Linked DNA regions of Sus scrofa. The protein of the gene in region 1 interacts with the protein of each later gene in a pairwise test. Links are inferred from orthologs where the notes say so. Each region holds a gene or a part of one and is shown in the gene's direction. Other genes may lie near its edges. The genes, in order: ZBTB25 and SEPHS1.

Evidence for each region.
Region 2: the proteins of ZBTB25 (region 1) and SEPHS1 interact in binary tests that used the Homo sapiens proteins (3 or more experiments, as listed by UniProt). The two-hybrid records come from large-scale screens. The link is inferred for Sus scrofa from reciprocal best matches to the Homo sapiens genes ZBTB25 and SEPHS1.

The regions. Positions count from the first base shown.
Region 1 is NC_010449.5:88,561,277-88,565,103, reverse strand, and holds part of ZBTB25 (zinc finger and BTB domain-containing protein 25), read left to right. Parts: intron 1-1,009; exon of another isoform or gene 1,010-1,025; coding exon 1,026-1,205; intron 1,206-3,827. UniProt on the Homo sapiens protein: May be involved in transcriptional regulation.
Region 2 is NC_010452.4:48,383,083-48,386,314, forward strand, and holds the end of SEPHS1 (selenide, water dikinase 1), read left to right. Parts: intron 1-842; coding exon 843-1,057; 3' UTR 1,058-2,701; downstream 2,702-3,232. UniProt on the Homo sapiens protein: Synthesizes selenophosphate from selenide and ATP.

The DNA.
Region 1 (3,827 bases):
TGCATGTTCTTCCATGTGTGTGATTTTCATCCCCTGAGACCAGTGGTCCCATCTTCTGCTTCTTTGGAAACCTCCATGCTTATATGTGTCTTGAGTCCAGTTAAGATCAGGGCTTAGGTTTTTTTTCCTCTGGGGCTCCAAGCCCCATAAGAATCTGGGGATGTGGTTTGACATCTACTTAAGGGCTCCTGGACTTCCTGTGACTGATCAGTTTCCCAAATATTGTATGGTAGTTAGGAGGCCAGCGTCTCCTGAGCACACAGGATTCCTAAGGAGTAAACACAGCCGTAGCCCAGCCAGGACACAGTATAACGTTATTAACATTTATAGCTAACACTTGAATAGCAGTTTCCATTACAAGATGCTTTTCACATAACTTATCTCATTTGGCTCTGAGGCAAGGATAAGTACCTCATTCCCATTTTTCCAGTGAGGAAACAGGACTAGAAACATTGTAGTCATGTAGATAGCAAAGGACAGGCTTCCTTTCACATCTTTGTCACCCTTACCAAGCTACCCTCTTACCAGATTTTAAAAAGGCCACATTTTATCATTTCAGCAGGGGTGATGTCGGTTGTCATGATGGGATATTTAATGTTAGCTAGGTTTGGGGTAAAATGAACAGTTTTGAAAACGTTGAATAATTTCATTTAAATTTAGGTCTCCTTGTACTCTGTAGGTTTGTGTGAACCATAGTCAGTTTTATTTATTTATTTTTAATTTTTTTTTTTTTTTGTCTTTTTGCCATTTCTTGGGCCGCTCCCGCGGCATATGGGAAGTTCCCAGGCTAGGGGTCTAATTGGAGCTGTAGCTGCCAGCCTACGTCAGAGCCACAGCAACGCAGGATCCGAGCCGCATCTGCAACCTACACCACAGCTAACGGCAACGCCAGATCCTTAACCAAATGAGCAAGGGCAGGGATCGAACCCGCAACCTCATGGTTCCTAGTCAGATTCGTTAACCACTGTGCCACGACGGGAATTCCTAGCCGGTTTTATTTTTAAAATAGTCTTTCTTTTTCTTAGAGCCACAATGGACACAGCTAGCCATAGCCTTGTCCTTCTGCAGCAGCTAAACATGCAACGAGAATTTGGTTTTCTGTGTGATTGCACCGTTGCTATTGGAGATGTCTACTTCAAAGCCCACAGAGCAGTGCTTGCTGCTTTTTCTAACTATTTTAAGATGATATTTATTCACCAAACAAGGTAAGGATGTGCTTTTATAAATCAGAAGAATTTTTTAATACTGTGATATAGTTAAACCTTATTATAACATCGTTTTGGGGATTCTTTGTTAAGGGATCATCTTAGGAAATAATAAAAATTTATGTATATATATATTTTTACACATCTTTAATTAAGCTCAGTGTGTAGGATCCATGGAGGAAGATAAGAATGAAAACAATAATAGCTAAAATTTAAAAACAACTAAAGTTTGAAAGCTTATTCCTTCAAATACAAACATTAAGTGTTTACCTAATGTAAATTCTACTGTTACCCATACTGTTTTAGAGAAAAGGAGACTGTAACTGAGTTGTTAAGTAACTTGTCCATCCAGGATTAGGCAGCCAATAAACTCAAATGTAAATCTGTGCTTTTAATCACTAAGTTTTTGATTTCTGTCCCATAACACTTGCATAACAAGGTTTTAGTGTCTTAACTCTACCCACCTTATATTCCATATTATAGTTCAAAGATTATTTGTTTCCAATTTTTTTCCAACAAGTTATTTTGAATTTCAATTACCCCACATGATAGGTATCTAGGGAGAGGGCCATAAAGTGGTATTCAGATTCTGAGCTCTTAGTGAAGAATAGCTTTAATACATCCCCAGTTAAAAGTGATAGGACACTCTTTGTTTTTTCAAACGAACTTACGTGAAATAATTAGGAGTTTAGCCTCAATTATTTTAATTTAATTATTCATTCGTTTAACTGTTTATTGAGTACTTTAAGGTCAGCTACTGGGGTAGACCCCAGTAACAAGTTATGCTCCCTGCTCTCAAGAAGTTTATAGTCTAAGAGAGAGATAATGTATGTAAAGAAAATAATTGCAGTATCATTGATCTCTCTGTGCCTGTTTCCTTCTCTGTAAAACACCAGAATAGTATACTTACCCCATGGTGTTGAGAAGAGTAAATGCATTAATAATATTAAAATGCTTAGAACAGAGCTTTGCACTGTTAGCTGCTACTATTAATGATTACTTATGTCTATAATAGAAGTCCTGTACAAGGTAGAGTGGATTGTCAGCAGCCTTTTGAGAAGGTCAGAACAGGCTTTAGAGAGGCTCTGGATCTTGAAGGAGCAAGAGGAGTTTAGTTTTTCAGATGCTGTAGAGGAATGTAGAATGGTACGTTGCAGGAAGAGGAAAAAAAATGCATGGAAAAGAAGATATGAACAGATATGAACCAGGCTAGCACATTCAGAAAATGGAGTAGATCAGAATGATTAGAATATATGACATAAAGGGGAGGAGTTTGTCGGAGAGGACAGGTCATGGGTACCTTTTTCGGCCACACAAAAGAGTTTCCTCTGGGAGTTCCCATTGTGGCGCAGTGGAAATGAATCAGACTAGGAACCATGAGGTTGTGGGTTCTATCCCTGGCCTCACTCAGTGGGTTAAGGACCTGGCATTGCCATGAGCTGTGGGGTAGGTCGAAGACCCGGCTCGGATCTGGCATTGCTGTGGCTGTGGCATGGGCCAGCAGCTGTAGCTCTGATTAGACCCCTAGCCTGGGAACCTCCATACGCCATGAATGTAGCCCTAAAAAGCAAAAAAAAAAAAAAAAAAAAAAAAAAAGAAAAAGTTTCCTTTCTGACTTGAGATTGTGTAGAAGCTAAATTAGAAACACTGCCTTCACATAAGTCTCATCCAAGAGCTGTGAGTTGGTTCAGCTCTTAAGCACATGCTGTGTAACAGACACCGTGCTAAACTAAACCCAGGACATACAAAGGTGGCAGGTCTGCTTTGTGGTATCTCTGTTGAGCAATTAAAAATCCTCAGTTAACAAAGCTCTGTGCTGATATATATATATATAAATAAACCTGCCACAAATCATGGCAGTGAGGGGGTCAGAGGTAAGTGTGAAACCCAAGAGGGAGTCTTAAGATGTCAGGACTAAAGAAATGGATTGCCAGCATAGTGACATTCAGTGCTTTCTGATGCATAGACACAGACTTTTGCTTCAAGGAATGTAAGTAAGTTCATTGACTGATTCCATTGTTCCCTGTCATCCAACGTTTCCCTCAGGTTGTCTTGATCCTAATTTTGCAGGGTGTTTCCTGATTTCTTGTTGGGCAGTTATTCTCATCTATTTTCTGAATTCTAGATTCATATGTGAAAATTGAGCTTGAGGTTAATTTAAAGCTTTTCAAAGTTACACCTCTATTCATTTGTTATTTAGAGCAGATATACTAGTATAGTTTGAAAGCCGAAATAAACTTAGTGTAATTTAAATCTAAGAAGGACCAATCCCAATAGACCCTTTTAAATTTTTCATTATTGTAAAATACATATAAACATAAAGTTTTCCATTTTAATTTTTTGTTTGTTTGTTTTGTTTTGCTTTTTAGGGCCACGCGGAGGCATATGGAAGTTCCCTGGCCAGGGATCAAATTGGAGCTGCGGCTGCCAGCCTACACCACAGCCATAGCAATGCAGGATCTGAACCACATCTGCGATCTACACCACAGCTCACGGCAACGCTGGATCCTTAACCCACTGAGTGAGGTTAAGGCTTGAACCAGTGTCCTCATGGATACTAGCTGGGCCCGTTACTGCTGAGCCACAACAGGAACTTCCCATTTTAACTATTTTTAATTTTAC
Region 2 (3,232 bases), on another chromosome or scaffold:
AAAGCTGGGGGTCTTTGGCGGGCCTCACATCCCACGAAGGGCTTGCACTTCCTATCCTCAGGAAACACAAGGCTGTTTCCCAGAAATAAGTTCCAAGAGGGCAACTGAGCTGCTGAGGACCGTGTTTGCCACCTGGTTGGGCCTGGAATCCGTGTGAATGAACTAATGAATATTCCCAACTAAGGCAGTTTGTCTCTATTCAAAATTGAGAAGTTACTCCTTTTTTTATGTAAGTCTAACATGTATCTTTTCCTAATTGTGTTCCTTCTTTTAACAAATACATAGAATATTCTAGCCTAGCTACTCAACTAGCAATGAAGATTTGTTTTCGTGTATTTTATATATTTTTTTTCTCTTTTGAAGATAATGACAGAGCTAGTGACAGGACCCAACCACTAAGAGGCACACTTTCATGACCTTAATTTTTAAATTAAAAGATAAATATATGAAAGAGAAGAAATATGAATACTCTTTGTGGTAAAATGTAGAGAATCCAATTGAAAAGGAGAAGTTCGTTCTTGTTTTTAAAAAATCCTTTCAGTGTAGCCTGGGAAAGATGGCCACTCAGATGTTACTGGGTCCCCAAACACCTCACCCCCACACCCCACACGGCCTCAGGTGACTCACAGCTGGGGCATTTCCACAGCTGGGAGTTTGTTGTCGGGTGTGTGTTGAAACAGGATAAGCTGACCGAGCACTTGCTCAATGACTGTGTGATCTGCCGACAAGGTGAGGGCAGCCCAGCCATATCAGTGCAGAGTCTTGGAGAGAGACAGCGGCAGGGACAGCACTCTCATGGCGACACAACTAACATGATCCTTTTTTCTTGTTTCCTTTGCCAGGGGGCCTTCTAATCTGTTTACCGCGAGAGCAAGCCGCTCGGTTCTGCGCAGAGATCAAGTCCCCCAAATATGGTGAAGGTCACCAAGCGTGGATTATTGGGATCGTGGAGAAGGGGAACCGCACAGCCAGGATCATAGACAAACCCCGGATCATCGAGGTCGCGCCACAGGTGGCCACCCAGAATGTGAACCCCACACCGGGCGCCACCTCTTAATCTCGGCCGGGTCCACGTGTGGTTTTGGTTTTAAATAGCTCTATTTCCTTTATCATTTCAATTAAAGACTATAAACAACAACGAAAAAAATCTCATTGTGTCTACACATCTGGTGACCTTAGGTCGATTTGTGAGTGGATGCAATTAATAAAATAAAATCCATTGCCTTTTTTTCCTGTTACATTAACTGAAGATGCACCTAATCTTGAGGCAGCTTCTGAGTTGAGAATTATATTGTTATCCAATACTGTTGATTCATTTTGAATCTTTAGACACTTATCTCTTGCCGAGTAGGCTCTTTTTAAAGGTGCTTTCACGTAGCACAGACATTATGCGTCGTAGTGTTGAATAGCAGTCTGTGTCTTTTCAGTTTATGTATATTTATCATTATCGGTCTGATCCTTTTTGAAGTGTCTGGAATGATATTCTGGAAGGACAGGATTGGTGACTGACACAAGGGTACCCCAGTAGTGAGAGGGTTGCATGATTCCTTCGAGTCTTCTAATGCAAGAGCATCTCTGACCCAGGCCGTTTCCCAAGAGTGCATTCAGTTAAACAAGGCAAGTGCTCAACTCTGCATGGAAAGCACTTTGAAAACAAAAAAGAAATGTTATTTCTTTTTTTGTTAGCCTTCTTAATACTTAACAGTAATATCATTAACTGTTTTCTTTACAATGGACACTTTTTGCAGTGTAATTAGATGTTTGGTAGTGCAGCAAAGAATTGCCCTCTGAAAGGGGGGGGGTCCGTGTATGATACTCATTTACAAGCCAATATATAATTAACTACACAAATAATTTTAAATATAATCAATAATAAAGACTTCTGTGGATGGTAGTGTTTAATACATTTTATATTTTGTATAGTGATGTCAGGCCTCTTGTTTTCTTAAAATCAGCAGCTACTCAGCTTCATTCTTAGCATTATTTTGTCCTTTGCACCAGTACTTTTCCGTGCACGCTTTCTATGATCTGTGTGGAAACGCATCACCAACTGTGCAGCTTGAAACTTCAACTTGTTATTCAAATAAATATTTAATTTTTTTTATTGCTCTTGTATAATCAGATGCCCTTTTTAGTATTATTTTAGAAGCATTGGGAGGGTTTTGGCTAAAATACAATTTATTGGGGGAAAACTAGATTTTAGTTTTATAAAACTTTTAAGTCTTTCATGGGACCTATATTTTCTTGAATTAAATTTTGTAGCTCTAGAACAAATAGGTGACCTAAAAAGGTGTTTATCTGTGTTACTTAAAAACAGAGGCTTCCTTATATTTTCACCTACTAAGCGTCTAGGAGGGACCCCGTCCTCAAGCACAAGTGCACTGACTTCTCAAGTGTCCACATTCGCTGGCGTCGCCCATTCTGAACGCTTCCCGTTTGCAGGCACCAAAGTGGAGAGAACAGCCTGACTTCTTGCCAAAGGAAACCACCACTTGGGAGACCAAGGCCCTGAAGGGCTTCTGCCTCGGATGCATCCTCTTCACACGTGTAACTGGAACTCAAGCCCCAAGCTGAGTGCTCGGGACTGAGGGCTGCCGCAGAACTGAAATTCATTGGACACTTCACAGGGATTGATACCCATGTTAGTCTCAAAAGCTGCAAACCAGTGGTCTGCAAAATAAAATGTGTTGGAAACCTCTGAGTGAGATGAACATACTGTTGAGCTTTTTTCTTTTCCTCTTCAAATACAGGAGTGATGGCTAAATGTGAACTTCCCATGTGGATCCTGTCTTGAATGCTGATGGTTTCCTCAGCTGATCAGATGGTGCACTCGAGGAAACCATAGTGACCATAGTGAAGATTCATGTTTAGAAAGAGAAAATTCTGGGTGCTTAGAGGTCCTTGTAATGGAGAAGGAAGAACTGAGCATTAAAGGGGTGTTTCTCAGAGAGTGGTCCAGATCACACCTGTGTTAATCGCCTGGGGATGCTTGTCAAAGTCAGAATCGGGGGCCCCACCCCAAGACCACAGAATCAGACAGAATGTTCAGGATGCCAGACTAGGGAATCTCTTACATGGGCACCCTAAGTGACTAGCTAAGCTCACCAAAGAGAAGCTCGTATCTAAGTTCTGCCTGCCTTACGCTGAATGAGTGCGAGTGTTTTAAATGGTTCTGGTGTCATGTGAGCCAAAAGTTCTGGTCTGAACTGAGCATTGCCCTTAAAAGAATTAC